7 linked regions of the Xenopus tropicalis genome follow. The protein of the gene in region 6 interacts with the protein of the main gene of each other region in a biochemical or structural test. Links are inferred from orthologs where the notes say so. Each region holds a gene or a part of one and is shown on either strand. Other genes may lie near its edges. The genes, in order: rbl1, setd7, phb, topbp1, tbp, e2f1 and ccna1.

Evidence for each region.
Region 1: the proteins of e2f1 (region 6) and rbl1 form a complex in vitro, tested with the Homo sapiens proteins (2 studies listed by BioGRID). The link is inferred for Xenopus tropicalis from reciprocal best matches to the Homo sapiens genes E2F1 and RBL1.
Region 2: of the proteins of e2f1 (region 6) and setd7, one has a biochemical effect on the other in vitro, tested with the Homo sapiens proteins (3 studies listed by BioGRID). The link is inferred for Xenopus tropicalis from reciprocal best matches to the Homo sapiens genes E2F1 and SETD7.
Region 3: the proteins of e2f1 (region 6) and phb form a complex in vitro, tested with the Homo sapiens proteins (2 studies listed by BioGRID). The link is inferred for Xenopus tropicalis from reciprocal best matches to the Homo sapiens genes E2F1 and PHB1.
Region 4: the proteins of e2f1 (region 6) and topbp1 form a complex in vitro, tested with the Homo sapiens proteins (4 studies listed by BioGRID and IntAct). The link is inferred for Xenopus tropicalis from reciprocal best matches to the Homo sapiens genes E2F1 and TOPBP1.
Region 5: the proteins of e2f1 (region 6) and tbp form a complex in vitro, tested with the Homo sapiens proteins (2 studies listed by BioGRID). The link is inferred for Xenopus tropicalis from reciprocal best matches to the Homo sapiens genes E2F1 and TBP.
Region 7: the proteins of e2f1 (region 6) and ccna1 form a complex in vitro, tested with the Homo sapiens proteins (2 studies listed by BioGRID). The link is inferred for Xenopus tropicalis from reciprocal best matches to the Homo sapiens genes E2F1 and CCNA1.

What each region holds. Positions count from the first base shown.
Region 1 is NC_030686.2:42,361,655-42,366,575, forward strand, and holds the start of rbl1 (retinoblastoma-like protein 1), read left to right. Parts: upstream 1-1,737; 5' UTR 1,738-1,863; intron 1,864-2,327; coding exon of another isoform or gene 2,328-2,408; coding exon 2,409-2,461; intron 2,462-2,606; coding exon 2,607-2,807; intron 2,808-3,083; coding exon 3,084-3,148; intron 3,149-3,666; coding exon 3,667-3,795; intron 3,796-4,921. UniProt on the Homo sapiens protein: Key regulator of entry into cell division. Directly involved in heterochromatin formation by maintaining overall chromatin structure and, in particular, that of constitutive heterochromatin by stabilizing histone methylation.
Region 2 is NC_030677.2:61,011,984-61,016,328, forward strand, and holds part of setd7 (histone-lysine N-methyltransferase SETD7), read left to right. Parts: intron 1-3,775; coding exon 3,776-3,905; intron 3,906-4,345. UniProt on the Homo sapiens protein: Histone methyltransferase that specifically monomethylates 'Lys-4' of histone H3. H3 'Lys-4' methylation represents a specific tag for epigenetic transcriptional activation.
Region 3 is NC_030686.2:14,011,260-14,014,826, reverse strand, and holds the end of phb (prohibitin), read left to right. Parts: intron 1-267; coding exon 268-363; intron 364-1,986; coding exon 1,987-2,199; 3' UTR 2,200-2,538; downstream 2,539-3,567.
Region 4 is NC_030682.2:52,585,725-52,590,598, reverse strand, and holds the start of topbp1 (DNA topoisomerase 2-binding protein 1), read right to left. Parts: upstream 3,094-4,874; 5' UTR 2,854-3,093; intron 2,848-2,853; exon of another isoform or gene 2,716-2,847; intron 2,560-2,715; 5' UTR 2,555-2,559; coding exon 2,471-2,554; intron 1,453-2,470; coding exon 1,318-1,452; intron 136-1,317; coding exon 1-135. UniProt on the Homo sapiens protein: Scaffold protein that acts as a key protein-protein adapter in DNA replication and DNA repair. Composed of multiple BRCT domains, which specifically recognize and bind phosphorylated proteins, bringing proteins together into functional combinations.
Region 5 is NC_030681.2:50,706,237-50,710,480, reverse strand, and holds the start of tbp (TATA-box-binding protein), read right to left. Parts: upstream 2,801-4,244; 5' UTR 2,710-2,800; coding exon 2,659-2,709; intron 2,034-2,658; coding exon 1,714-2,033; intron 557-1,713; coding exon 469-556; intron 1-468. UniProt on the Homo sapiens protein: The TFIID basal transcription factor complex plays a major role in the initiation of RNA polymerase II (Pol II)-dependent transcription.
Region 6 is NC_030686.2:41,693,963-41,698,307, forward strand, and holds part of e2f1 (transcription factor E2F1), read left to right. Parts: intron 1-2,010; coding exon 2,011-2,101; intron 2,102-3,889; coding exon 3,890-4,109; intron 4,110-4,345. UniProt on the Homo sapiens protein: Transcription activator that binds DNA cooperatively with DP proteins through the E2 recognition site, 5'-TTTC[CG]CGC-3' found in the promoter region of a number of genes whose products are involved in cell cycle regulation or in DNA replication.
Region 7 is NC_030678.2:151,890,601-151,895,463, forward strand, and holds the end of ccna1 (cyclin-A1), read right to left. Parts: intron 4,861-4,863; coding exon 4,626-4,860; intron 4,554-4,625; coding exon 4,429-4,553; intron 3,400-4,428; coding exon 3,176-3,399; intron 2,840-3,175; coding exon 2,635-2,839; intron 2,435-2,634; coding exon 2,321-2,434; intron 1,844-2,320; coding exon 1,710-1,843; intron 1,631-1,709; coding exon 1,579-1,630; 3' UTR 1,100-1,578; downstream 1-1,099. UniProt on the Homo sapiens protein: May be involved in the control of the cell cycle at the G1/S (start) and G2/M (mitosis) transitions. May primarily function in the control of the germline meiotic cell cycle and additionally in the control of mitotic cell cycle in some somatic cells.

The sequences.
Region 1 (4,921 bases), about 670 kb from region 6:
TGCAGCGAGAGGAGACGGACACCGAGGCTTCCAACTCGTCGGACGGGGGCCCGGGGGAGGCGGTGCAAGAGCAGCTGGAGACTTTGTGCCGGGAGCTCAACTTGGACCAGGAGACCGGGGCCGAGACTATCAGAGACTTTACCCGGACATGGAGCACCTACAGCCTGGAGGTAACCGGCCTGACTCATACCGGGGCCGCCGTGCCTTCTGTCCCACTGTCTGGCACTTCCGTATCCTGCCTTGTACTCTGGGGGCCCCCTGCCCTCCTGCCTTGTACTCTGGGGGCCCCCCTGCCCTCCTGCCTTGTACTCTGGGGGCCCCCCTGCCCTCCTGCCTTGTACTCTGGGGGTCCCCCTGCCCTGCCCTCCTGCCTTGTACTCTGGGGGTCCCCCTGCCCTCCTGCCTTGTACTCTGGGGGTCCCCCTGCCCTCCTGCCTTGTACTCTGGGGGTCCCCCTGCCCTGCCCTCCTGCCTTGTACTCTGGGGGTCCCCCTGCCCTCCTGCCTTGTACTCTGGGGGTCCCCCTGCCCTCCTGCCTTGCACTCTGGGGGTCCCCCTGCCCTCCTGCCTTGCACTCTGGGGGTCCCCCTGCCCTCCTGCCTTGCACTCTGGGGGTCCCCCTGCCCTCCTGCCTTGTACTCTGGGGGTCCCCCTGCCCTGCTGTATGGGGGTCCCCCTGCCCTGCCCTCCTGCCTTGTACTCTGGGGGTCCCCCTGCCCTCCTGCTTTGCTGTGTGGGGGTCCCCCTGCCCTGCCCTCCTGCTTTGCTGTGTGGGGGTCCCCCTGCCCTCCTGCTTTGCTGTGTGGGGGTCCCCCTGCCCTCCTGCTTTGCTGTGTGGGGGTCCCCCTGCCCTCCTGCTTTGCTGTGTGGGGGTCCCCCTGCCCTCCTGCTTTGCTGTGTGGGGGTCCCCCTGCCCTCCTGCTTTGCTGTGTGGGGGTCCCCCTGCCCTCCTGCTTTGCTGTGTGGGGGTCCCCCTGCCCTCCTGCTTTGCTGTGTGGGGGTCCCCCTGCCCTCCTGCTTTGCTGTGTGGGGGTCCCCCTGCCCTCCTGCTTTGCTGTGTGGGGGTCCCCCTGCCCTCCTGCTTTGCTGTGTGGGGGTCCCCCTGCCCTCCTGCTTTGCTGTGTGGGGGTCCCCCTGCCCTCCTGCTTTGCTGTGTGGGGGTCCCCCTGCCCTCCTGCTTTGCTGTGTGGGGGTCCCCCTGCCCTCCTGCTTTGCTGTGTGGGGGTCCCCCTGCCCTCCTGCTTTGCTGTGTGGGGGTCCTGCATCCTTGCCCCCCCTCCCCTGACTTTGCCTTCTGAATGTGACAGGATGTTAGAATGTAAGCTCCAATGGCGCAGGGACAGCTGGGTATATTGTGTAATCTGTGTGTGTCAGTGTTGGGGAGTATATCCGCCCCACACTATCCTGGGATTCATTGGTCTGTGTGCCTACAAGTTGTGGATGGTGGCCCCGTCTCTTAGTAGCCGGGCGCCCCATTTTTAGGCCCAGTGCAGCATTGGGATAGGAGCCCCCAGCCCCCATATTTGTGTGTATTTGTCATGTTGTAGATACAAGAGCTGCGACAGTTGCATACAGTACAAACCCAATATGTTTATGCTGAATTCACCGTGTAGCTTTAGATGGCAGTGTATGTGGGATAGTCCTGCCCCTAGTGCCGGGGCTCTGGGCATGTACTGACATGACAGCTGATTGCCGGCACGTGGGGGAGGCACAGGAACTGCACAGATTTGCCATTTTAAATGTCAGCCACGTTGTCCGGGGCTAATACTCAGCAGCAGCTGTTACCTCCTCGCCCAGTGCTCCCTCTGAGCCTCCCATAGCCACCCGGGGGCAGATCAGCGTGTAGGGCCTGTGCCTAGAAATGTAGGAGAAATTCAGCTTTAAATTTCGTTCTTACTATTTATTTTCCAACACATAAAGAGCCAGCATATTCATTAGCATTGAATGAATGGACCAATCTAATGTTTCATTTTGTCTTCATTATTTGTTAATGTTTGTAGTCAGCCTGCATCTGATAATACCATCAGCTTGTTGGGGGCCTTCAACTGATCATTGTCTGTTCTGATTTCCAACAGCTGCCTAGTTGTTAGGGTAAATAATACTTAGCAACCAGACAGCATAATTTCAATTGGCCATAACATAAAAAATTGGAATTTGTCTCTGAGTAATGGAGTCTTCGTTAGATGGAAACAAAGTGTTGTGCTGCATACAGAGCCTCAAAAAAGCATGTGGATCGTTTACCTTTGCTCTCAGCTTTTAGTTTAATATTATTCTAGCTCTGTCTCTCAAGTGGAGAATTTACAGGATTGTTTTCCTGCGTCTTTTAGGGAGAAGTGAAGCATTGGCTCGCGTGTGCCCTGTACGCAGCATGTCGCAAAGGTGTCATACCGACAGTGGGGAAGGGCATCATGGAGGGAAATGGCGTGTCGCTCACACGGATACTGCGCTCTGCAAAACTGAGGTATGTGCAGAAATTCCTTTACATAGCAGTCATTTTTCATCCAATGTATGTAAATGGTAACTGGGGCTATTTCTAGCCTGGGCGATACTGCTCAGGGTATGTACCCCCCAATCGCTTCACGCTCTGTTCCTTCATTGTTCCGCAGCTTGATTCAGTTCTTCAATAAAATGAAGAAGTGGATAGACATGTCCAACCTTCCGCAGGAGTTCCGCGAGCGAGTGGAGCGCTTGGAAAGGAACTTCGAGGTGGCCACCGTTATATTTAAGAAATTTGAGCCCATCTTTCGGGAGATATTTCAAAACCCTCACGAGGAGCCGCCGAGATTACCAAGGAGCAGGAAGCAAAGGTGGGGTGTAATGGGGCATACCCCAGTACCTTGGTTTTAATATTCTCTTATGGGCAACTAGAGAAGCCCACTGCAAGGACTTATTGGCCAGTGGCTAGCACTGGAAACAGGTGCTTTTTTTACTGGAATCAGTATGAGCCCATTCTATAGGATTGTTCTGCAGAAGGAACAACTAATAAGCCAAAGGTTCCCCCCCCCCAGCTTGTTTTTTCTGATCTTTAAAACAGCATTATTTGTAGAATTGATATCGTTAACTGGCAGTGTTTTGTTCTCCAGGAGGCTGCAGTGCAGTGCCAAAGATCTCTTCAGTTTCTGCTGGACATTATTCGTATACTCCAAGGGTAAGTCTTGTCTAATGTACTGCCGTGTTTGGATAGTGATATCGCAGGTTCTAGGTTCCTCTAGGAATGCTCTAGGACAAAGGAAGGAGGGTCTGGCATTTACCAACAAACATTATTGTAAAGGAATGTGGCGTATTTATATACTATAATGGTAGCAAAGTGAAAAGTCTCCAGTTAATTTTAAACTCCCCAGCTACACCGTGAGTGGCCTAACCCATGGCTTCTCTTGAAGAATATCTTTGGGGTAATCACAAAATGGTTGTCGGGGTCAGTGACCCTAGCGGTAAAGGCAGTTTATTGTCGTTCAGTACTTCTGTTTTGGCACATAGCAGTCGAGATACCATCTGAAGAACTAAAAGTAAACTTTTAAAGACACTTAGAAAATGTCTGTCTACGCCATGCTGCAAGTTAATTTAAAGAGAAACTACTACTTATATGATATAGGCAGTTTTATAGCTATTACATATATTCACCTTCAGAGAGGAGACACACTTACTTAAAAACATTCTGGTTTCTAGGTAATTTCTGCTTGATTGGAGATGACTTGGTTAATTCTTATCACTTGCTTTTGTGCTGCTTGGACCTTATTTATGCACACGTGCTGCAGTGCCCTAATAAGGAAGATCTGCTAAATCCTTCTTTTACTGGTATGTATTATCACTCTTTTTCTATGCAAAATATAACATGAGTCTTAGCTCTGTCATTACAAAAAAACCAAATGGATGGGATGTTTCAGCTGCCCGTGCCCCTCAGCTGCTGAGCCGGGGCTTTTTTCAGATGCAAAGTAAAAGCTCTGTCACTTCAGAGAGCTCTCAGAATAGTGCCCACCAATAAGTGAGTGCTATTTGCCCCATGTGTGCCACTATGTGACTGGCTTATGTGCTGGCTAATCTTGTTGGCCTGTATATGGTACTTGTACTCCATATACTGGAATTGTCTATATTTTCTCTAATATACAACAAATAGTTTTTATCAGTAAACCAAGAGATGGCCCTCCAGATCTTGTTGGGCTTCAACATCCAGCTGTAGGCAGTACTGTGCGCAGTTAAAATGTGTGGAGGGGCCTCTTATTTATCGATCATGGTTATATATTGTGATATGCTGTACTGTATTGTCTGACTGCTAGATGTCACTTGGTGTTTAGGCTTTGGCATCTCTACTCTGTTTAATACTATAGATCAGTGCAGTCCAACTTATTACATGTAATGGGCCAGCTATATCTTATGCAGCAAGTTGGAAAGCCAAATAATGTCATATAGTGAAGCCTATGGAGTGTCTGAGCAGACTGGGGGCCTTAAAAATCCAAACTGGGGGACCACGGGCTGAATGGGGCCCTCCACAGGACAGCCCTGCTATAGATACTAAATACATTATACTGTTGCTAGGTTTTAAAATGGACTGAACACAGTGGTTACCTGAGTGGCATCCTTTCACTATTGCCTTAGTTTTCAGTGGGTGTAAAATTGAAAAGGATTTAAGGCTAAACTCCATGACTCCAACAAGACTCACGATCCGACTTAAATTACAAATTATGGAGATCAGATTTGGTACAGAATCTTGTGCTGTTGTGTGGTGTTGAACGACCAGATCGCAAAATCTGATCCAAATCTCCTGTGTAGCTTAGCCCTTAGAAAACCATTATTCTGAGGGATTTACTCATTGCCACCCATGTCGGTGGCTTACACGGGAACATTTGCTGCTTGTTTAACATGGAGGTGAGGGGTAGAATTGAGGTTCATGAACTGCTGCCACTTTGTATGATGCTGAATTCCT
Region 2 (4,345 bases), on a different chromosome or scaffold from region 6:
GGGTGACCCTATGGTTATGTTATTCAAGTTTGGGGGCTGTAGCTTCAAAGCTGTAAGAGTGGCAGCAGCTTGAAAATCTTCCCTGTTAAAGTCAATGGAAAAATTGGGGTGTTCAGAGGGGCGCCACAAAAAGACGGGGGGCCGGATCGCTTAGAAAAGCACAAGCAACCTGCTCCGCTATAGGGCGAAGAAGTGTGGGGTGCTGTACCCCTAAAACTGTAGGAGGAGTAGCGTTTAGAAAATGGGGGGGCGCTAAGAATAAGAATAAAAAGTGGAAGACTAAGCTGAAGTTGAAGAACAGTATGTTGGGTTTTTCAACCCAACACAATGACAGCATTGGTATTTTCTTTAATATTTACCAGAAGGGTAGTTCTTTAAAAAAATGCACCCTATATTTAGATATACAGGTATAGGACCCATTATCCAGAATGCATACATCCATTTTGTGTGACAGTTTGGAAAATGTAGTGGTTATTATGCAACATTTTTCCCACGCATGCTTTTTCAGTTCAGATTTTTTAGTAAATGTATAACATTTGTGGAAATTCAAATTTATTTTTTTTTTTTTTTTTTTTTTTTTTTTTTTTAAATGAGAAAAAGTAGTTTTAGTAAATCTGCCTCTGAGAATTCTTTATAATGATATCATACACAGGTCATTTAAGGCGTTTGAATATTGTATACATCTCCCATCTTATAATGGGTGATCGTGCTGTACTAATGAATAGAAATGAGCCAGGCCCCTGATAAACTTTTGTCAGCGTTGCATCCTGTGAGGGCATTGCCTTTCACCCAGACAGTGCCACTGCCAAACTAATTTTGTTTACTGGTAGAGGAGAGATGTGACTGTGCTGTGAAAGCAGACAGAGATTAGACAGACAAGGGATAAAGCGGCTTAGACTGGAAATATAGTGCTAGAAGAAACAGTCAGTAAACTATCCCAGGGCTTTGTGACCTTTTCTCTCCCTTATAATGGGACCCATATACTCTTTAGTGGCAGTAAATATGAAGGATGGGGTGTGGGGACAGAGGTTAATGGGGTGTAAGAAAGTGGGATAATATTTCCTGATTGGGGGTAGTTTGTTTGTTGTGGCCTAGTAATCCAAGAGCACAGAACCGATCTGTAATGGAATATCTCTGGAACCCTCTGAATGACCTAGAAATCAGAATTTGATTTAACATTTTCCATCAGTTGATATCTGATTCACACAGTGCCATTAATACTAAAAGTGTCTTGTCATTTCTATTGTATCAGACTCACAGATAATTATGCCTTTACATTTGGGATTCTGTAGGGAAATATAAAAAGGGAGAGAAAAGAGCTGCTTTACCAGGCCACAAATTGGCAACTTTCCCCATGACCAATATATATGTACAGTTTGGCCACGAATACCTTTACCTCCACCTGTATGTTCAGGACCTCTGGCAAAGGAAACCATGGCTTTAAATGTGTTTTTTTTTTAATTGTTATGCTCTCTACTGTCTTTTTGTAATCTATTTTTTGTGCATGTACTGGGATTAAATCAAACACCATTAATCGCACAATTGATCTTGAGAACATGTCATCTGTGCTTGCAAAGTCGAGTTAAAATGAATATATATGCATGCAGATATTCGCTATAGATTAGCACTGTAAAACATTTCCTATGTAGTGGGCAGTAAACTGACATACTGCATGTTTGCAGGCTGGATTATATTAAAATCATTATTTTATACTCCACAGTCTGTGGGGCCCATTGTGGCTTTAAATATCATACATCCAGCCCTCAGACCTCCAGTTGGCCAGCTTTGCTATAAATAATGCATTTTATGCTCTTCTTTTATCTGCACATGAATTTACATTTTGTCTGCTTGCAAAGTACTGTATGTTCTCTCAGAACAACATTTAGCCTTTAATTTCATGCTGCCGAACAACAACAATTAACTGAATGTAAAAGTATGGGTAGAATTCTAGCTCTAGCTCTCTATGTGGCATGTAATCTCATTTCAACTATATAACATATATCTCCATATTGGGATAAATACAGTTCAAACAGAAGTTCACACATTTAACTTCCAGTTGCAATGGCACATGGGATGATTTTGTGTGTTTTGTAGGTAGTGGTGATTAATAGCTCCAAAGGTAGGGGCAAAATGCTTGAAAATTGCCTTTTATTCACTTTCTACAGTTGCACCCATGCTCACAACCAATCACTTGTCAGTTGTGATCAATGATTGTATTCACTCTTGCAGGCAATTGCTATTAAATTGAATAGGACCAATTTCAAGTGTTTTGTCATCACCACCATAGATGCCTAAATATCCTCACTGACTTTAGACCAGCCTGTCTTAGGTGTTGGTGGGGTAGACTTGTGTGAGGGGCAGTACAGTAAGTAGAAAACGGCATATAAGGAAGCAGCAGAGGGGGTGGCAAAGTGATGGCATTTAGGCATAACGTGAAGGTACATGTGGGAAATTACAAGGGCAAGTGTAGTTCCAAGAGTTGTGCAGGGCAGTCATGAATTTTTATAATAATATTCTCTCAAATAAACAAACAAATGTCAAATAAATGTTACTGGTGACATAATGGGGGCAGGAATTGGAGCAAACCAGGAGAAACTGGGTTGCATGGGGGCATAGCTGGGTGGAATATGAGTGTATCAAAAACTAAATATTTGTGTATTTGTGACATTGTTGTTAAATATTTAATAGAGGCATTGACTAGTGTTTTAAAGTCTACGCCAGTGAAATGTTCCTGATAATGATGAAAATGTTAATGAGTTAAAATATTTAGCAAAGCAGATAGATGTCAGTTTGTCAGAATGTGTTTGGCTTTGGCACATTTACTTTCTTTGGATTATTGTCCTCAGCTCAGCAGTAGCTCTTGGTACTAACACAAGAGACAATCTGAATTGTCAATTCCTAATGCAAATTACACAAGGAAATTAACAATTCTACCCATTGTTTTCGGCGCTAGGACAAATTTATTATAGATCAGTACATTTTACTGATCAATTTAACAAACAGAAACTTTTTTGTGCAAATCTTGCTCAGATAGCATTCTGTTTCAGTTCTTTGGAGCATCTAGCACCCTACACACAGTCCTTACTACATATACTGTACGTGCACTGCCAGCTTCCCAACACTATTTCTTTGGCAAACCTCGATGCATCAAGAAAGAATAAAATAGAGACTGACCATAACAGTAGCTGCCAATATAAATGCATGGAATAAATAAGGTTTCAAATGTTTACCTGAAAGTATGAATGGAACTGAAGTCATTTACTGACTATAGGAGAAGCTAATAAAAACTTTACATTGTACGACAGTGGTTGTTGGAACCTTTTGGTTCAAGGTCCCCTTGGAGGGTCATTCTGTGTTCAGGATCACCCCAGTTACCTTCATGCTGAACCCCTTGGTACTGTTCCAGTGCCCCAGGGGACCTCACAGTCACAACACAGATTTGATTGTTATAAAAAGGTAGGGATAGTTCAGAAAATAAGTATACATTTTACAGAAAAGTATCCAATAGCAATTTGCTTTTGTTAGTCTTACTGCATTTAAACAGCTATAGTTCATTGTTAAGAAAATTATACTTTGTTATGATGCAGGTGCATGTCCATGGCTTTACCATTGTGTCTCTTATAAAAATGATTTGCCTCCTGTTATTTTATTCATTTATTATTTTGATTACATTTGTTTGATTTTGTGTGCATTTTTGCTACATTTAATCCTTCCACCATGCTATCTGTATTAACCAAATACGCATTATTTAATCCTCTTTATTATTTCTGGGAAGGCCTGTTGGATGATGACGGATTACCTCACGGGTTTTGCACTGTCAACTACAGCTCAACTGATCGGTTTGAGGGGCATTTTGTACATGGAGAAAAAAATGGACGTGGAAAGTTCTACTTCTTTGATGGAAGGTACGTGCATGTAATGCACCTTTTTTTTTTTTTAAGCATATATTGCTACATGCTGGAATAGCAGTTATGGTTTCATTTATTGTTTTTATTGTTTTATTAGGTGCACATCTGTATTAATATTACAATTACTATATATATATACATCAAACATAATAGATAAGTGTATACATCAAACATAAATATAGTATACAAATGCCGAGTGATACAGGAGGTACAAAAAGCCCTTGCTCATAAGAGCTTCCAATGCAGATAGTTGTAATTCAGCATCACCAGGATAGCCAATGGAGGATCTTTACTAAAACTCATTGCACTGTATGCACACATTATGTACAGGTATTGTACCTTTCTGGATAAGGGATCTTTCCTTCCAATAAGGATTAATTCTGTCTTAGGTACTGTTTTATTACTACAGAGAAAAAAGAAGTCATATTTAAAAATTT
Region 3 (3,567 bases), about 28 Mb from region 6:
TCCCCAAGGCCTCAATCTAACTAATCCAAATCAAAAGCTTTCATGTGACCTGGGATTATTTAGACACATTGGAATAATAGATGCTCTCGGTTTTTGTTATGTAAACCTTATCATTAGTAGTGGAAGATTAACAGATTAACTTCCTGCAGACGGGAAAACACTTTCATGTAATATCTGTGGCAATTTTGATTTATATATCAGGGTGGTGTATAATTTTACAGGTAACCTGCAAATAAAAAAACCTAAAGCACTTATTTCTCCATTCAGACACATCTGACCTTTGGCAAGGAGTTCACAGAGGCCGTAGAAGCCAAACAGGTGGCCCAGCAGGAAGCGGAGCGTGCCAGGTTCATTGTGGAGAAGGTACATGAGTGATCATTTAGTAAAAGCCAAAGTTAATGGGTTACAGGAAACAGATGTATAGATAACTAAATGGTATGAAAATGTTTGTTTCACTATCAGTATTCCACAAGACATATTGCCTGTATGTATATGTACAGGAGTGTATGTATATGTACAGGTTTGTATGTATACTGATGTAGCACTGAACAATTATATGCATGTTTTGTAGGGTTTGCGCAGGAGTAAAATATTTATATTCCCAAAAGAAGTGTGTTTCAGATCAATCAAGATATATACTGTCCATAATGGAATATGCCAACCCTTTTTGTAATAAAGCGGAACTCCACCCAAAAACAAACTAATCTCTTTGAAAAGTAAACATAATTTGAAGCAACATTGCAAAATACATCCGTAGTCGACTGTCCTCAGCCTGCATCCTCCAAATCCCACAGTTCCCTGCACACGTCGTCAATAAGGAAAGGAACATTGCAGTGCAATGCATTGTGGGTTATGTAGTTCCTGTATGCTCTCTAAGCTTTGGAGAAGTTATTACAAATTGTAACATCAATGATTTAGTCCCTCCTCCCCTGCCAGGATTTCACATGATGCAGAAAGAGAAGAACTGTGTTGTAGCTGAATGTTAGCATATAAAGATGGTATTTATTCATACAGTTCGAAGGAACAGATTACAGTCATAGGTATATTAGGGGTTTCTGTGTTGTGTGGAGCTCTTTAACAAATTTTAGTTCGTAAGCCAAAGTTCCACCTTAAAGGAACAGCTCAGTGTAAAAATGAAACTGGTAAAATAGACTGCGCAAAATAAAAAATGTTTTTAATATGACTAGTTAAGCAAAAATGTATTCTATAAAGGCTGGAGTGAGCAGATGAACATAATAGCCAGTACACTACTTCCTCCTTTACAGCACTCTAAGCTGTTACCAGTTGGTAACCAATCAGTGATATGAGGGGGGGGGCATATGGGACATAACTGAACTGTTCAGTTAGTTTGCTTTTTAATCTGACCCCCTGGTCGTCCCCCCCACCCCCTCTTCCAAAGTTAGTGACAGACTAAGGTTAGAGTGCTGAAAGCAGGAAGTAAAGTTCTGGCTATTATGTTAGACATCTGCCCACTCCAGTCTTTATAGCAGGGGTCCTCAACCTTTCTTACTTGTGAGCAACATTCAAATGTAAAAAGACTTGGGGAGCAACACAAGCACCATAAAAGTTAATGGAGGAGCCAAATAAGGGCTGTGATTGGCTATTAGGCAGCCTCTATGCACACTATCAGCTTACAGGGGCTTTATTTGGTAGGAAATCTTGTTTTTATTCAACCAAAACTTGCCCCCAAGTCAGGAATTCAAAATAACTCCCTGGTTTGGGGGCACTGAGAGCAACACCCAAGGGATTGGGGAGCAACATGTTGCCCCTGAGCCACTGGTTGGGGATAACTGCTTTTATAGATTACATTTTTGCCTAACTAACTATATTACAAATATTTTTTATTTTGCACAGTCCATCTATTTTACCCGGTTTCATTTTTACACTGAACTTTTCCTTTAAGGGATTATTGTGCCTGCCTTCATAGTTCCTATTGCTAAATGAGATGACTGAAATCTTACCAATTACTTTGTATCTCCTTTCCAGGCTGAGCAGCAAAAGAAAGCTGCAGTGATTTCTGCAGAAGGGGACTCCAAGGCAGCAGAGCTCATTGCGACGTCACTGGCGGATGCAGGAGATGGGCTTATCGAGCTGCGCAAACTGGAGGCCGCAGAGGACATCGCGTACCAGCTGTCTCGAGCTCGTAATGTCACCTACCTTCCCTCAGGACAGTCAACATTATTACAGCTACCACAGTAATTGGATGATGTGTTGTCATGCCATTTATTTTTTTTTACGTCTGACCCCTACATAGGTCTTTGTTAATTGGCCAATTTCCCTTGGGAAATGTTACAGAAGATTGTGTATGAAGGTGAATCTCCTACAGAGCCCACATAATACCCTACATGAAATGGACTTTAGCCACAGAACTGTTTGAATCCTGCCAATATATTTCTGAATTTGAATTGAATATAATTGTATTTTCAATGGAGGGCATAATACATTTTTGGTTGAAGCACTTGTTTATGTCTAAACCTAAAATCTGGCCTTCTGTCACTAACAATAAAAGTTATCCCTCAGAGGATATTTCAATAATGACATTGTATTATGAGTCAGATTACTTATGTAGGGATGATCATGTGTTAATCACCTATGAGATGTAACTTTGGGGGCCCAGGCCCTCCCTAAAATTGTTTGTTTCTGGACCACCATCCCCTTGGCCAAAACTGTGCCCCCCCCTCCCACGCAGCCATAGGGTGTATTCCTAGACCTAGAGTACAAGAGAGATTTGTGTAAAATGTAAAGGGATAGTGACTAAAATCTAGCAGGAAAGTGTCACTGTGGCTTTACTAAGCAGCCTGGTTTTAAGCTTGTGATTCCCTCGGGTCACCCTGTCACGTATTGACTAAAGTCACTGAGACAACATAGCTAGATAGTGAGTTTTCTGTTCTTTATCATTTTCTTCCTTCCCTCTACACACTTCACATTCTCTGCCTTTGCTCAGATACTTTTCTGCACCCCATCACCATAGCAAAAAGATCCCTTTTAAAGGAGAAAGAAAGGTAAAAACTAAGTAAGCTTTATCAGAAAGGTCTTTATCAGCCATAAGCACTCACAGAAACGCTGCACTGAGTTCACTGTCAAAAGATTTGTTGTGTCCGTTTTCCTCTCCCAGAGACACGCAGCTCTCTGCTCTCTCCTGCTCCCCCTCCCTCAAGAATGCTAAGAACTCACTCCCCCCCTTAGGAATGTGGATCTGAGCCAATCAGCAGGAAGCTGGCTCATAGTCTAACTATCTGAGCATGTACACTTGGTCTGGGTCTCGGTGCAGAGTGAGGCATTATGGGAACTTTCTTTACACAGCTCAGCATTTTTTCTTCCTGTCTGGCTTCTGATCTTCTGAACAGGTAAAATATGGGGAGACTTAAGGGCACTATTGAGAGAACTGAAGGTATGCCTGCAGCTTGAGATTAACTCTTTATTAGCCTTTCCTTCTCATTTAAAACCCCAGGTTCCAAACATTCTAGGCATAAACATTATAGATTCCAAACCTGTATTTCCTTTTCCAATTCAGGGGCAAAACGTTTTTGTTTTTTTTGTTTTTTTTAAATAAGAAAAAAAAAAAAG
Region 4 (4,874 bases), on a different chromosome or scaffold from region 6:
TTTATCGAGACTGGTACAGGAAATTGTCACATCAGCCATTGCCATATTATAGACAGGATATTCAGCACGAGGGACACGTCTTTGATGCTCCATACAAAAAATGACAACTTGTGGCCCAACTATCCTACAGCCAAGCTGAAAACATAAGCATATTTTGATGCGTCAATAAATTAACTAAGTTAAAAAGCATCTTACATAAAGACTAAGTAATATGTTACATATTTTTTTACTTTTATTTTATAGGACATATGGAGCATAAACTCCTTTAACATTATCTGAACTTTTCAAAGTAAATTTAGAAAAATTCTTTATTCTGACACTCAATTCAATCCCCTTAGTAATAAACAGAAAATATGTATTTATATATATTAAACACATTTTTGAGCATTTTTTCAGGCACTTGCCACTTCAGAGACCTGGGCAACTACCTAAATCCTATTTCGGGCCGTGACAGATGGGGAGATTAGTCGCTCGCGACAAATCTCCCTTTTGCGGGCCACTAATCTCCCCGAAATGCCATCCCACCGGCTAGAATGTAAATCACCGGTGGGATGGCATATGCGGCGGGGCGATTTGCCGAAGTTGCCTTGAGAGGAAACTTTGTCGATTTTGGCACAGTGTATGCCATCCCACCGGCGATTTACATTATAGCCGGTGAGATGGCATTTCAGGGAGATTAGACAACCGCGACAAGGGAGATTTGTTGCGCAGCGACTAATCCCCCCGTCTGCCACGCCCCTTACAAACACTGTCAGAGCCACACCAGCATCCCCACCAAAGGCAATACTGCTTGGTCAGGCACCACACCAGCAATCTCCTGATGCCACTGAGTTCTCTCTACCCCCTAACCCCCATAATGGGTTGGTTTTTTTAGTTGGCAGAGGGTGGGCACAGGCCAGCTTTTTGTCGACCCATCATCACTAGTGCTGTTGCCTGCCACTGGTATACTGTCCATAAAAAGGTTAGAATGTGTTGTAGGCAGGCTCACACATACTGTGCATAGGCTGAACAGTACACTCACTCGCTTCCTGCTCAGCCCTGCCCCTTCTGAGTGGATAAGCTATAGTAATCTGGTATCCCCCTCATGAATGTCATTCTGGGCCAATGCAGTTTTCTGCTATTAGGAGCAGTGAATAAGTGATTATAATCACTGTGTGATGACTAACATTTGGAACCCCCAGTGACCTTTCTTCTCCTTTAACTACTGTCTTTTGTTCTGACTGCAATCAAACTATAGTCAAAATGGTTCCATTAAAATCATGGAATATGCATTCATATAGAAAAGTGTTCAGTATTTATATAAGTATAATGGCAAACCTTTTTCAGATGGTTAAAGACAGCACCACTAAAAGGATCACAAATGTAGAGAGATTTGTCTTTTTCTTTCAAGAGAAGTGCCTCACTTTCTTCAGTTAGCTGAAGAGATTCATCAGACTGAATCTGCTTGATTGCCTACGAACACAAAGCAGAAAATAAAACTTCTATTGCCTTTGAGAAAGTAATAATGTGGACAAATGTAATGCAAATTACAAGGTTCCATAAACGCTCATAGCCCTATTGAATATGGTTTCAGCTTTACACAAAAAGGTTATCACCCATCAAATATTCCAAAGACTGTGAGCCCTTTACACGGAGTTAGAAGAATAGTTCAGTAGTTACTTGGTAACTGAGTAACTAGGGCTGGGCGATATACCGTTCAATACCGAATACCGGTGTTTTTCTTTAAAAACTATATTCATTTTTCAGATACCGCCATACCGGGGTGTCAGGGTACTCACCCGTGCGGCCCGGTCTCGCGCTGACGGCACCGGTTCTGCGCATGCGTGGGGGGGGGGGGTATTTAAAGCTATCAAACGCCTCCTCCTGTGCTATGTTGTCTGCGGCCTTGCCTGGGAAACTAAGCCTGCCTGATTTACCTTACGACTTTCTGTTGCCGATCCTTCGCTTGCCTTTCAATACTGCAGTAATTATTATCTAATTTATTAGGAAATGGGGTTAACACCTAATCATGCATGGAACAAAAAATACCGTCAAATAACGTGACACCGATATAATTTTGAAAAATACAGTGATATAAATTTTTGGTCATACCGCCCAGCTCTATGAGTAACCATATTTTATCTAATGTATGACAACCATGTTTCAAATAAAATGTTAAGAAACAAATAGTGCTGTGTGCACCTGCAAGAAATGCCCCTGGTATCTTTCCCAACATTATAAGACAATAGAAAGTTAGCAACGTCAAAACAGATTGAACTAAATCTGTACATGGTTCTTTAGAATATTTCCATAATATTTTTTCTGTAATACCTAAACATAGAATTGCGTGAATGCTCTGCATATGAGTTTGGAACTTTGTTATAATTACTTAGAGTAAAAATATCAGTACAGTAAAAATATCTTTCTACATTATGGGGTTCTATAAGCAACTGTGTAATGTATCCAGATATTTGTTTTATAAATATATTACCTCATAAGCTTTAAAGAAGTATTCAGAATTTTCAGGAGACTTGATAAATTTCACACAAAATGGCTCATTTTCACTCCTAGCCATTTTAACTAAGAACAAAAAAAAATGTGAACATATTACTTTCATACAAATGTCACAATACATCACAAAGCTTGAGGAACAGTAACAGTAAAAAAGTTTATTAAAAAAATAAAAACTACACCTTCTAAATAATACCCATGTCCAAATGCATTATAATTATTTACCTTCAAATTAGCCAAAAATCTTCACTAAAACTCATCGCCATACTATGGACACATTTTTGAAAAAAGGCGATAGGAACACTAGCCCCTCAGTACTCTCCGTAATTGCGCGCTCCCAATGTCTCTCTCTCTCCTACTCACAGGATATCCGGTTGTAACCCGGAAGTTCCGCAGTAGCTGTGAAGAGGAGGAATGGTTTCAGCCGGCATGTTCAAACTTCTCCTTCTCTTCTAGGTTCGTGTTCTTTTCAGAGACTAGGGGAAAGGCATGCTGTTGGAAGAGAGGTGGGGGAAAGGCATGCTGTTGGAAGAGAGGTGGGGGAAAGGCATGCTGTTGGAAGGGAGGTGGGGGAAAGGCATGCTGTTGGAAGAGCTGGGGGGGAGAGGTATAGACACGCTGAGGAAAAGACCTGTGAAGCAAAGAATGCTTGGTTAGAGGTATGGGAAGGGGCAGGGACTTTGTGGGAGAGACGCTGTGGGGGATGGCTGCTGAAGGGAAATGCTGGGAGACACGTTGGGGGGATGGCTGCTGAAGGGAAATGCTGGGGGACAGGTATGGGCTTTGTGGGAGACACGTTGGCGGGATGGCTGCTGAAGGGAAATGCTGGGGGACAGGTATGGGCTTTGTGGGAGACACGTTGGGGGGATGGCTGCTGAAGGGAAATGCTGGGGGACAGGTATGGGCTTTGTGGGAGACACGTTGGGGGGATGGCTGCTGAAGGGAAATGCTGGGGGACACGTTGGGGGGATGGCTGCTGAAGGGAAATGCTGGGGGACACGTTGGGGGGATGGCTGCTGAAGGGAAATGCTGGGGGACACGTTGGGGGGATGGCTGCTGAAGGGAAATGCTGGGGGACAGGTATGGGCTTTGTGGGAGACACGTTGGGGGGATGGCTGCTGAAGGGAAATGCTGGGGGACAGGTATGGGCTTTGTGGGAGACACGTTGGGGGGATGGCTGCTGAAGGGAAATGCTGGGGGACAGGTACGGGCTGTGTGGGAGACATGTTGGGGGGATGGCTGCTGAAGGGAAATGCTGGGGGACAGGTACGGGCTGTGTGGGAGACACGTTGGGGGGATGGCTGCTGAAGGGAAATGCTGGGGGACAGGTATTATTTATATAGTGTAAGTGAAGTCTTTTTTGCTCAACTATGATAGAAAATAATCTGGAGTTATTTTTTAGGGTGACAGGTCCCCTTTAAGCTTTAGTTCTCCTAACACTGCATCTGTGTTGCCATAATTCTAATGTAGTGTGGTGGAGAAAATCCTAATTATATTGCACTAATAGAAGTGCATATTGTGATGAATCAAGGAAAAATATCCCTCAAATCACTTTTTTTTTTTTAAATATAAATTCTGATTGATCTAATAAAGTATTTCAAGAAATTCCAAACTAGAGAGCTTCAGAACAAAACAATAATTAATAACATTTTCAACAAGATGCTATAAATTAATTGTAAGATGAACCTCCCCTTATTAGAGCAATCATAATTATTTAAATAGATTGTATATACCTAGGCACTTCCTAGGTGGATTTTTATAACTATAAACATATGATTGCACTAACGGAGTATTACCTGTGAATGTAATTAAATTACATTAAAAGTGCAGCAAGGTGTTAGGCATAATGTAGACTATAATAATAATAATCAGTAAGAATTACTCTTGGACTGAAAAAAAAGTGTTTGGAAGGTGAACTACCCCTTTAAAACACTGTGGAAATATTGGAGATGGGGGGAATAGGGGGAGCAGGAGGAAGCAGCGAGGTGCGGGCCAGGGGTCCCTGGCTACCAATGTCTGTGTGTCCTTTGTACTGATGGGAGGGGCCGTGGGGTGGGGGGGAGCAGAAAATTTTGTTTTCAGGGGTCCGTGATTTCTGATGGCGGCCTTGCTCTTCATGCTGTGGGGGGATTCACTGTACCTTTGATGCTGTGCCTCTCGGGGCATTCAAGTGCCACTGGATCCTGGAAGTTTCTGGGGATTCACAGTGCCAGTAGATGCTGGTGGGGGGTGCACTGGATGCTGGTGGGTTAGAGGTTACTGTGTTACTAAATGCTGGGATACACTTTGCCACGAGGTGTAGGATTCCCTACCCTACATTCCCTGCTACTAGATACTGGTGGGGTAGGATTCATTGTGTCAATACATGCTGGTGGGGTAGTACT
Region 5 (4,244 bases), on a different chromosome or scaffold from region 6:
GATAACCCATCCTCATGCCACTTCTAGGCCAGCATAAAAATACTATGCCCAGTGGGTATGGCAGGACAAAATTACAAACAGGAAATCCTTTTCTCATCACACATTTACAGAATTAAGTGCCATACAATGCACCAGTGTGTTCTCCTGAATGACTTTTACAGATAGATAAGAATATTTAGGGCTGTGACAGACGAGATGATTAGTTGCGACTAATCTCCCCGAAATGCCATCCCACCGGCTAGAATGTAAATCGCAGGTGGGATGGCATACGCGGCATCTTTGAGAGGAAACTTCGGCGATGCTTATGCCATCCCACTGGCAATTTACATTCCAGCCAATGGGATAGTATTTCGAGGAGATTAGTTGCTCGCGACAAGGGAGATTTGTCACGTGGCAACTAATCTCCCCGTCTGTCACAGTGAAAGCAACTATTAGGTGAATAAGATACAACAAAGGCTTTTGTCTTACCTTAGGGTTATACTCTGCATTTCGCGCTCTAAGTGCAATTGTTTTCAGATCCAGTTTGCAGCCAAGATTTACAGTGGACACTATGTTCCTGAACAATGTAAAAGCAGTTATTACAAATCCAAATATTTTTGCTCACTGTATTTAAAGGTATTCAGTCATTAATTTTTATTGTGTACTTATATTTCTAAATTACTGTTTACATAGCAAATAATTTACCATTTAAAATTTTATTCTTAAACCAACAAAAGTAATTTTTTAGTTGTAGGCAGCCAGATCAGTGCATTGTGCCCGAGTCTGAGCTTTCAGAAGGAGCCAGAGCTACTGGACTTGAATTTTTTTTTTTTTTTTACTATTGAGTACTGTTCTGATATCTACTGGGAGCTGCTAGCTTGCTAACTTACATTGTTCTGCTGATCGCCTGCAGGGGGATGATGATATCACTCCTATCTGCAGCACAGTAGTAAAGTGTGACTGACCTTTATCAGAGCAAAAGTCACATGACTGTGGCACCCTGGGAAATGAACATGGCTAGCCCCATGGGAAATTTTTAAAAAGTATTACAAAAAAAAAATTTGCACTATTAGTACTTGTAAAAGTGCTAAACTATTTTAATTTCCCAATTCTTTACTTGTTCTATTTTTCACACATGTTGGACAGATATAGGACACATTAAAACTAGGATACTACTGTACATGCTAAATTACATATCAAGACAAGTCTTTCTCCCTCAATAAAGTTTCACTTTAAATATGACATCAATTCAGTCTCAAGAATGTGGTGTAAAAGTCTGAAATGAGGAAACCGTCTGCATCTGTTTCTAGACCTAATATATACACACACCCCTGGCCTGGTAGCTTTTAAATCTAATATGGACTCCTATATTTTTAAGAAATGTAGCTTTTTTTTTTTTTAAACAAATGTAACACTCACAGGGTAAACAAAGGTAATGCAGCACTGTTAAAATACTCATTAGTACCAAAGGTAAAACAAAGATAAGGTCTTTTAATTTTGACAGGCCACACTCAAATGTGGTATAACAAATAAAGTCATTACTGTCTAAAATTAAAATATGCCAGAATATGTTTCCATTTCCTGTATATCTAATATTTACCATTTGCAGAGTTGTATGCTCTATGGCACTACAGAAATGTACAGACAAACATAAGGATTTGTTGACAAGTGTGCAGATACAGATAATCTGACAAATGATATCTGCAAAATGTCCCCCAGGATGATGAGACTTACTGTAGCTGAGGAACAATTCCTGAACTTTCTGATGCAGGGGTAGCAGGAGTAATAGGGGTCATGGGAGTCATTGGGGAGGGGTATAAGGGTGTATTTCCTGGAAGAGGTGCTGTGGTAAGAGTCTGTGGGTGAAACAGTTGTGGGGTTTGGCCTGACCCCTGATTGCCTTGTTGTGATGTAGACTGCTGGGCCTGTTGTTGTTGTCTTTGCTGTTCTTCCAATATTGATAAACTGTTAGTTGTTTGTACAGGTTGAGGGGTCAGACCAGTTCCATAGGGCATCAACGGACTGAAAATGTTAATCCCTGGAGTCAGAGAACCCTACAGAAATAAAAGACAAAAAAAAAAAAAAAATTATAACAAATTTGCTCTCAAACCCACACACAAGTTGAATCACAAGTTAAAATGGGCTTAGTACATGGGGATTTCTTTAATGAAAATCTTATGGTATAGCCCTGCACATGGAGTAGGACAAGCTAAGGGCTCTTACACACAGGTGTTTTCACCCTGCAGTCTCCCGAATTGGATTTCTTCTCCTTTCCACCACAAGGAAGCATAGGATGAAATGCAGCTCTATATTCATTCACATGCATGAATGAGAACGGAACACATCTGTTTTGTGTTCAAGAGCCCTCAGGATGGCGTTCCTCCACCTATTACGACAAGCGCCCCAGCAAGAGAAACATTTGCATTGAAGCCAATATTGGCTGCTGACTTGCATTTCCCCCCTAAGTCAGTTGGAAGCATATTGGCCTGTGTCTCAAGTTTTTCTTCTATTTTTTCATTCTTCAGTATTGTATCTGTTGTCCAAATTAACCACACCCGGTATACCGTATACCCCCCAATTTAGAAAGTGCAAATGAAGTGAATATTACAATGCTTTTAAAGGCATTTTATTTTATGGAGGGGGAATTGTGGTAAAAGGGAAAAAAGGGTTCACACTTACCTGTGGTGATGCCAACCCCTGGAAAGGGGGTATACTGTTGTTTTGATCCATGTTGCGTTAATTGGAAATCCCACTAAGAATAAAACAAAGTGTGCTGTTCCTACAAATTAAAATAAACCATTCCAGCAGCAGACAAAAATCCTATAAAAAGAAGTTAAAAAAAAAAAAAAAAAAAAAACATTAAAACATAGCTTACATTCAGCAGTTAGCACCTGTATTGGTAAATGTGATAAGTTAACAGTAGGACAGAGGGCCATAACAACGAGCCAATGTGGTCCCCGATCCGTGTTGGGGGTGCCCATACACAGGCAGATAAGCTGCCAAATTGGTCTGAAGGAACTAAATTGGCAGCTAGAACCTGCAAGTGTATGACAACCTTATGTGACCATAGCAAGCAGTAAAGACAACACCATGAAGCTAATCTGCTATTAATCCTACTGTATAAATCAGTGACCCAACAACTAGATGACTGTTTAAAAGAACAAATAAAGTAAAAAAAAAAAAAAGATAAGATGTAGGGGATATTTATAATATTAGCAGCAGCAAATTGCTTGAAATGACAAAAAAAGGTATACTAAAATGGTGTAGTCAAATTATACACTTGCAGATGTCACAATGGGATTCCTTCAAGCAAAATTTGTAAAATGACCTGCGTGTGGTTTTAGTTTCTCCAAATCTCTTAAGGGCTCTGGCACACGGGGAGATTAGTCGCCACGACAAATCTCCCTGTTCGCGGGCGATTAATCTCCCCGAAATGCCATCCAACCGGCGAAAATGTCATTCGCTGGTGGGATGGCATACGTGGCGGCACGATTTCAGTGAAATAGCGGAAGTTTCCTCTCAAGGCAACTTCCGCGATTTCACTGAATCGCCGGTGGGATGGCATTTTGGGGAGATTAGTCTCCCGCGAACAAGGAGATTTGTCGCGGGTGACTAATCTCCCCGTGTGCCAGAGCCCTAAGAAGCTATAAAAACCATAAACGTATTCATTCAGATGTAATAATCAAGCCTTGTTATATCTAAATTCTGAGATTTTGTAGTACAATAATACAAATTTTGCTATATGTGCCCCTAAACCTTTTTCTCTGAGGAACCAATTAAACGCACAAATTAGTTTCACAACACAAGGTTGGTTTATGTACATAACTTAGTGCCTAATTTCCATTGTACTCAGTAAGATCATGCCTCAACAGTACAGGGAGCCGTAGGTTTATTGCTGAGTTTAGGCTGTAGCACTACAGAATGAGCTAGAAAATAGTAGAAACTATTAGACTAGATAAAATGGCTCCAAATCAAATTGGTCAGCTCAAGGCCAAAGAAGCAAATCTAAAATTTGCCCAGCTTTAAAGGAGAAGGAAAAGTAAAATGACTGGTAGTAGTAAATATTATTAGGCATCCTCAGGGATTCCAGCCACTTAGTTTACCTGCTTCAGCAACCCCACCCCCTTTCAGGCATAACCTGCCAGGCTTGGGCAAGGGCATGTGCACTACAGAACTCTCATATTTCTGTACCACTCATACCCACCCTAGACTGTACCATTCACACCCACCCTAGACAGTACCACTGTACCTCTCATACCCACCCT
Region 6 (4,345 bases):
GGGTAAAAGTTGCTTTAGGCCTGAAAGAAAAAAATATGTAATTGCTCAGGGAAACAGCTACACATTTCTGCCAAGTGTAGGACTTCGTAACAGTTCAGCAGCATTTATTCATTTATTTGCTGAGCAAGTAAAAAAGAAATGCTTTATATGCACCTACCTATAGTAATTGTGCATTTGTTTTAGTTTATGCATTATTTTAAATATATTGAGTATAGGTATTGTGTATGTTAATAAAAACATGGTGTCAGTGGTTATTATGGAAGGGGTTCTTCATCTTAAGTTTAATGCAGATATTTATTAAGCTTTTTGTAAAATAACTTCAGTTTGGCATTTCAGCAGCCACACCTGGTTGTTAGGGTTAACCGCCCTAGCAACCAGGCAGTGCTTTGAATGAGTGACTGACATATGCATGGAAAGATGAGTACAGGTATGGGGCCCATTATCCAGAATGCTCGGGACCTGGGGTTTTCCGGATAAGTGGTCTTTTCCAATAGAATTGTTCTGCCCCCAATAAGGGGTAATTATATACCATATACCATTATTATACCATTAAATAAACTCAATAGGGCTGTTCTGCCCCAATAAGGGGTAATTATATCTTAGTTGGGATCAAGTACAGGTACTGTTTTATTATTACAGAGAAAAGGGAATCATTTAACCATTAAATAAACCCAATAGGGCTGTTCTGCCCCAATAAGGTGTAATTATATCTTAGTTGGGATCAAGTACAGGTACTGTTTTATTATTACAGAGAAAAGGGAATCGTTTAACCATTAAATAAACCCAATAGGGCTGTTCTGCCCCCAATAAGGGGTAATTATATCTTAGTTGGGATAATGGGTTTACCTCTAATCATAACAATATAATTAACCTCACAGGGCAGTAGTGAGAATAATTGGTTTTAATTTACTGGCACTGCCCTATTAACAGGTGGTTTTGTTTTGCAATATGAAGCTCATCTGTAAATGATACTGATTGACCCAAAGTATGGAATATCTTAGCACTGACCCAGCTAATGATCCCAATGTTACTAGTCAGCTATGGGTAGTGCTGTAGTGTAACCAAGAGCACACAAAACAGGATTCCTTATTAATGGGATCAGTAACTGTTGTCCATTGTGCAGCTGTGGGTTGGTCCTTATGCCTGTAAACTAGTCAGTCCTGCCATCTGCATCTCATACTATAGTTGCATTATATATGTATATATACTTCAGGTACGGGGTCTATTCAGCTTGTAAAAGCTCACCCAGCATAGCAAGTTGTAACACGCACAGAAAGAGTTAACAAGCAAGCATCATTTTAGCCTAGCCCAACCATTGGGTAAACCAGCCAGATGGGTTGTTGGAATTTTCCTCCTACGCTTCAGACTTGGGAAACCAGTATGGGCCGGGGTGGGAATTTTTACCAAACAGCTGTAAAACAGTAAGGGAGCAGTTTAAAAGAAAAGCCTCCACTAAAACCATTGTAATGTGAGCCTGCTTCATGCCAATCAAATGCCACTTTAAGGCTCATAATGGTACATTGTCTACCCAGAATACTTTGTGTGCCAAAAGCCCAAGTTTTTGCACACAATAGATTAGTGATCTCCAACCAGTGGCTCAGGGGCAACATGTTTCTCCCCAACCCCTTGGATGTTGCTCCCAGTGGCCTCAAAGTCGGTGCCATTTTTGAATTTTTGTTAGGTTTTAGTTGCATAAATACCAAGTATAATGCCAAACAGAGCCGTCTGTAGGCTGCCAGTCCACATAGCACTTATTGGCACCCCAACTATTTTTCCATTTAAATTTTGCTCACTGCTAATAAAGGTTGGGGATCCCTGCAGTAGATCATGTCCGATTCAAACCATAAAGGCTATGGTACTCCCAATTATGGGACCAAAGTGCCCTGTCTTACCTTTTATGAGAATAAGTATAAAACTACACTACAATTTTGATTCTCCTTCACAGGTTTGCATAATATTTTTTTTACTGCCTACATCATACTAATCATTCATGGCAATTATTTTTTCCAGGTAAAAAGGAAGTTAGATTTGGAAACTGTATCCAGATATAATCAAGAAGCGCTACAGACACCCCGCGGGAAGGGGAAAAGACCTCTGAAAGGTCAGTTTAAATGTGTATTGTGCGTTTATGGGATGTATCTAAGGGATTCACATAATCACTAAAAAATCTAAAAACAACATAAAATTACTGTGAGGCTTTATTGATTTTTCTTCTCCCCTTTTTTCTGATTTATATTTCTTTTCCGCTCTTTAGTCATGTTTCTCCCCTGCGTTTTTTCTTTTACTAATTAGACCTTCTGTTTTATACTTTGCTGGGTCTATGGGTGAAGACACATGGAGCTACTAGTAGCAGCTACTTGTCGTGGCTACTAAATAAGACAATGCTGATCATTTACTGATAATTGTCTCTGTGTGTGTTTTAGCAGATGCAATCCTCAGTATTGTCTATGGCAGGGGATTTTGTGGTGTTTAGTAGCCTAAGGGCTCTGGTACACGGGGAGATTAGTCGCCCGCGGCAAAACTCCCTGCTCGCGGGCGACTAATCTCCCCGAGTTGCCTTGACCCTGCCATCCCACCGGCGGGATGGCAGACGCGGCGGCGCGATTTTGCGCAAATCGCCGAAAAAGTCTCGCGAGGCTTTTTCGGGGATTTCCCAAAATCGCCCCGCCGCGTCTGCCATCCCGCCGGCGACTTACATGTTCGCCGGTGGGATGGCAGGGGGAATGCAACTCGGGGAGATTAGTCGCCCGCGAGCAGGGAGTTTTGCCGCGGGCGACTAATCTCCCCGTGTACCAGAGCCCTAAGGGCTGTGGCATACGGGGAGATTAGTTGGCCGCGACAAATCTCCCCGAAATGCCATCCCACCGGCGAGTATGTAAATCGCCGGTGGGATGGGATTTTGGGGAGATTAGTCATGGACGACTAATCTTCCTGTCTGCCACAGCTCTAAAAAAAGTAGCTGCTACTAGAAGCTCCGTGTGTCTTCACCCTAAACATTTGATTGGACGTAGCAAATTTCTGCCATCCTTAAACTGTCTCCTAATAATCCATAGTGACGTAAGTATGGAATTTCTGCCATTCTGAAAGACACGTGTTTCAACATCTTTGTTCTTTGTTACTGTTTATGTGAATTTTCAAAGTAAAGTACTCCCACTCCTTATTTTGGCTTGGTGACAAAGTGTTTGGAATAGTCTCCTATTCATTCCTAGGGTAATCATCTGCACACACAGGTGCACTCACGGTTCAGGTGATAATCGCTTGAAAATGCATTAGCCACTGTTTCTGTGGGATAATTGCCTGACCTGCTAGTGCACCTGTTGTTGCATGCAATTAGCTGCACATTGTCGCCCGACCTCTGAGGTAGGAAAACACTTGGGTTACAAAACATGGAGATTTGCCCCACTCTGATACAGCAAATTGTCGTCAAGCTAATTACTGTGCTACTACTAGGAACACCAGAGGGAGCAAAATGAAGCTAAAATCTTAGAAAAATATAAAAATAAAAGGCAACTGGGGAAAAAAGTAAATATTTCTTAAAATAGACTGATTCATAAATTGTTTAGATTAGGCCCATCTTTAAAATTGGAAAACGTAGTCTCCTACGTCTGCTGCATTTTCCAGCTTTCAAATGGAGGTCACTGACCCTGGCAGCCAAAAAATGATTGCTCTCTGAGGCTACAGTTTTATTTTTGTTGCTACTTATATTTCTATTCAGCCCCACTTCTATTCATTTTCCAGTCTCTTGTTCAAACCACTACCTGGTTTCTAGGGTCATTTGCTATCTAGCAACCGGTTAACTGTTGAAATTCCAAACTGGTGAACTGCTAAACAAAAAAACGAACCTTCTCTTTTTAACTGAGATATAACCTTTTTTACTTTTACTCAATAGCAGTGAAATCCCCAGGGGAGCGGTCACGATATGATACATCCCTGCATCTTACAACCAAACGTTTTCTGGAACTTCTAAGCCAATCTTCAGATGGAGTAGTGGATCTGAACTGGGCTGCTCAGGTTCTGAATGTGCAGAAAAGGAGAATATATGACATCACCAATGTATTGGAAGGGATCCACTTAATCACTAAAAAATCCAAAAACCACATACAATGGCTGTAAGTATATGAGGCGCTGTTGATTTTTTTTTTCTCCCCTTTTTTCTGACTTATATTTCTTTTCCGCTCTTTAGTCAGTTTCTGCCCTACGTATTTCTTTTACTAACTAGGTCTTCTGTATTATACTTTGCTTCTTCTAATCTTTACAAAGGCAATTCAGGTCTATCACCGCATAGCTTAATTTGACCATTAAAATGCACCTTGTTTAGACATGAGTTATTTGTTCATTGGTTTTA
Region 7 (4,863 bases), on a different chromosome or scaffold from region 6:
GGAAAGAGGAGATTCTGGAAGGTTGAGATTACCGGTATCTAAAGGTTGGGAAAATTGTTTGCGGATAGAATCGACTTTGCTTTTAAAGAAGTCAGCAAAGTCCTGGGGTGTGTGTTCAGATACGATTGATTCATTAGGTGAAGGCGAGTTAAATATGGAGAATAAGTGCTGTGCAATGTAGAACTCCCAAAAGGACATTGTCATATCACAAGACCATGTCTGACATGCCAATGTGCCATCACAGTTACATGCTAGCAAGGGACAGCAATGTGGGCAAATACAGTTTGCACACTATTATTTTCAGTATGAACACAACAGCAATATTGGTACAATTAGCAATAGTTTCTCCTAGCAGTTAAGCACACACCACCCTCACTTAGGCTTACATTTCAGCAGTTTCTTGCTGCATTTGCCACCATCCTAGTTATGGACTGGTTTTTAGAACAAAAAAAGCCAATGCTCTGCTTAACCTAAGCTGTACATGGGAGTTCCTAGGAGAACCCATTTGCTAGCATGCAGGCTAACCTTTATTATAAAGTTGACCTAGTGCAAGAAAACCCAACAATTGCAGGTATACAGTTTCAGCCTGTGTAATTGCACACCTACTAAAGCAAAGACTGCATAGTGTTAATTTACCAGCAATGGTACAGAATATAGTCTAGCACAATGCCTTTTACTATAGACACCATGGAAGCTTACTCGAGTTGAGATAAAGGATATCCTCCTTAAGGCATGACAAGTGCATTCCCACTATTGAAGGGATGCTTCTGCTCACTTTTGAAGCTTCATTTTTGCATGTTTGATGTCAAACCATTTGCCATACCCTTAGAAATTGACCAAACGCTAATAGGTGAACATGGGTTTTATCACTGTTCACTACCTTTAGTCAAGTGTTCTAGCATTACAAGCAGGAACAATTAAACCTCTGCTACAGAAGGGTCAAAGACCAGATTACCCCCAAGGGTAAAGGCCAAGTATATGCTTCTGCTGCTTAGTGTATCCACACTAAGACTTTAGGGTATTTTATATGCTAAATTTTGGCCAGTGGGGTCCTGATTTGTGTCCCAATACAGTTATTGAAAACAAGGCTCAAGACTGTAGGAGTAAATCAATTTTATTAAAAACACTTGACACCATCACAAGTTAAAGAACCTGGATAATGACGCTCTTATTCAGTGTTGACATTCATAAAAAGCCATTTCCTTGAGCAGCTTGACTGTAGGAAGTCAGGATTATCTAAGTCTTTGAGTACTGTGGTTAGCCAGTGCATGTCTGCTGTGCCCACTGGGGTTCAGTTTTAGTACATCCACTTGTTTATTAGCCAGATGTCCACATGACTAGTTCCCACAGCAAGAGACATTGTGCCTGCCCAATATCCAAGGCTTGTCTATAATATAAGTCCTTTAGTTTACACAGAATAAAAAGTCTATTTCATAAAAGCACAGGAGTCTCAGTATACATGTTAATAAATAAAACGGCTCCATTGGACACTTGGCCTGCAGTGTCTTCATAAAAAAAAAAATAAGACCAACACTGTTGATCGTGAGGTAAGTGCTGTGTGTATCCACTCTGAAGGCTTCAGTTCAGGGGAAGTACTGCTGGCATCTCCAGTAGAGAGACTTGCATATATCTAGGAGAAAGATTTAACAGCCAATCAGAACAAAGTTTAACTTAATATTGAGTTGGGGAAATTATATGAGCTGCCTTACTTGGGGGTCTTGTACTTCTCCCTTATTGCTTGCTGAGCCTGAAAAGGGGCACGGAGAGAGGCTTGGTGCAGATCACTTAGGCAAGGTGTTATTTCACTCAGTGTGTAGCCGGTGAAGGTTTCCAGTGTTTCAGGCTATATAAGAAAAAAAAAAAAAAAAAAGCTGCTTGACACCAACATTTAGCCATAAGCACAAGTACTGTTACTGCCTGCTTTTACCCTACTTCCACCTGTAAGGCATACCTTACAAGTTTAGTATAATAAACCTAACACATTTAGAGAACCAATAATGGGATTTTACTGCAGCTATAATGAAACCAGAAGAATGCTTCATTCTACAAGCACTTCCAGAGCTGTGCACCTACCACAGGTGATTTTTGGAATTTGTGTAAGTCTGCCAGTCACTGCCATCTCTTATCTTACAAGTGAGATATTTGGAATGTGAGTCAGTGCTTAAAGGGGGTACTCCAGAGTTCACAACTTTCCATATTACTGTAAGCCCTACTGCACAAAGTACTTAGCCAGTACTTTGTCAAAAATTAATGTCAGGAGAAACAGCAGCTACTCAATACAAATGAAAATTGTTAGTGAGATCATAAGTTAGCACCTTACCCAGAACACTTTGTTGAGTGCATAATTGGCAAGACAATAGGCTGCAGCAGCTGTGATTGAAGGAACATACTTCAAGAACGGCTCCACGTCAAGCAGACTTAGTTCTGCCAGGTACTAAAAAAAACAAAATGCAGTGTGCACTTATAGTATCCCATTTACATTCTTGTACTTTAATTTGTGTGCAGTTAGCAGAATGAGGCTTATACATTTAACTGCCCTATAACTACTAGAAATGCAGAAATCTGTACAGCTGTCTAAGCACAAGTTAACAGATTTGTATTACACACTGGTTGGCCAATACGTGAATAGGTTACCATTGCAAGGTGCTCAGTCTTCACACTGACTGCACGTCTCTGCAGGTACTGAAGCAGGAACTGGCTGATTGTAGGTACAGTAAGGTCAAAGGCCAGAACCTTCAGCAGAAGGTGTTCCATGCGCAGCAGCTGTTTCTTTGAGTATGTATCATCAGTTATGTACACAAATTCATCAACATCAGGAGGGTAGATTTCTTCATATTTTCTATGTAAAAGCAATAAGTAGTTACTCTACTACACAATGGTCATTGTTGAAGGCCCACATAGGGGCTCAAAAGTAGAAATTGGGTCAGTCTACAAGTGCTGGGTTAGGCCTGGAAACGGTTTTATACCTTGCCGAGCAAAGGAATATTTGAATAGGTGCTTTTGACCAGGTGCAGTAACCCATAGCAGCCAATAAGACTTGTTTGAAGCCAAGATGACCAGTAACGGCTAATGCAGATTAGTTGCTATAGGTTAATGAGACCCATATACATATGTCTGACAAGGGGCATTCCCCCCATATATGCATGTCTATAGGTTTGATTCTACCATTACTTACGATGCCAATAAGATAGCGGCTGTGCCTACAAGCTGCAGTTTCCCCCGGAGTACAGACATGCATGACAGGAAGCGGTCCAAATAATTTACAGCCAGATACAGAGTCTCAGTACGGAGCTTGTATTCCTCACCAACTTCTGTTAGCCAGTCCACGAGGATTGTGCGCATTGCTGAAGTAATGTCTGGCTGCTTACGCATGTAATAAGCCTTTGGTCTGTGTTTCAACTGGATAATTAAGAACACACATTAACTCACAGCAGTCACCCAACTGGCAGACCATGCATATGACTTGCGGCCCACTACTTTGCTGTATTGCCATTTGAGCATTTATCCTTGCCAGCATGTAGTTTTAGATTGTGAAACTCTGTAAATAAAGCTTACAGGTATGAGGGGGTAGATTCTGATGGGGGTCTTCCCCCAGTTACGTCTTATAAGGCAGCTGAAAGTGTACTACAGCCGACTGCAAGATGCCTTTGAAAGCAGAAGTTGGGGGAAGAGGGCCAGATAATAAATTGGGAAAATGAGACTGGAGAGCAGAAGAGCAGAATATGGAGGCTACAAGAAAAGACAAATAGCAGAAAAGCCAAGAGAATGTAGAGTATAAATGGGGACATAGTGAAGGCAGAATGCACAGTATATTGAAGAAAGTCAATGAGTAGAGTAAGACATGCATAAAAGTATTTAGCAGATGACAAAAACAGCACAGAGATTAAGTTACTGCTTCATATGGGGAATTCTTCCAACATCCTTGCCAATACCTATATGACCCTTCTCCTTAAGCTTAAATCTGCTTGTGTGTAATGTTAAGCTTTTATAGGTCTTTGTTTTACATTGAACATTAAAGTGGTGAAGACTGCTTAGACCCAACATCCTAAAAGGGACAATGCAATAAAAAGGTAGAACATTTGCTACAAGTCTAGCCACCTAGAAGGCCGTCAGGAGAAAAGTGGCTGCCATCTTTGAAAATTGTCATAAGTGACTGGCTGATCACCTTTGGTAAATTAGAGGAACTGAAGGCATGACAATGCAAAACTATAGTACATGTGGGTCCTTAGAACAGAAAGCAGTGCAGACTGTTAATTGTCAAGCCAAATAAATTGTATAGTAACTTAGAGCACAAAATTATAAATATATAGTACTATACAAACAGGTACATTGCCATAGTGGTAAGAGGGTCCTGCTCAAAGCTTACAATATGAAGGTGAAGTTGTGATCAGATAAAACAAACTAAGCCATGTTTAACCCAGATCTCACCTCAGCCTCTCTAAGGTACTGATGTATCTCATCTATATATTCTGACACAGCTACAGCATCTGGATCTGTTATGGAGTCATCTTCTGGGCTTGCCTGGAGAGAGGTGTCCACCACCATCGGAGAAGCTGCAGAAACAATAGGCAGTTTAAATGTGTATTAAAGGGAAAATGCAGAGCTTTAGCAGGGATTAAACAAACCTGCACTGAGATCCAAGAGCAGATGGATGTTCTGCTTCACGATATTTGAATCTACTTCATCCAGAGTGGGACAATCCTCTTCAATCGAATAGGTTTCTGTTGGCTCCTCTGGCTCATCCACATACACTGTAAAGATTGGCTTTGGAGCCACAAGTGCTGGGTTTGTTGGCAGGATTTTTCCAGCGAAAGGAAGCACATTTTCAATTCCAGGCAGACACTTTGCAGGGGCCCCACCCTA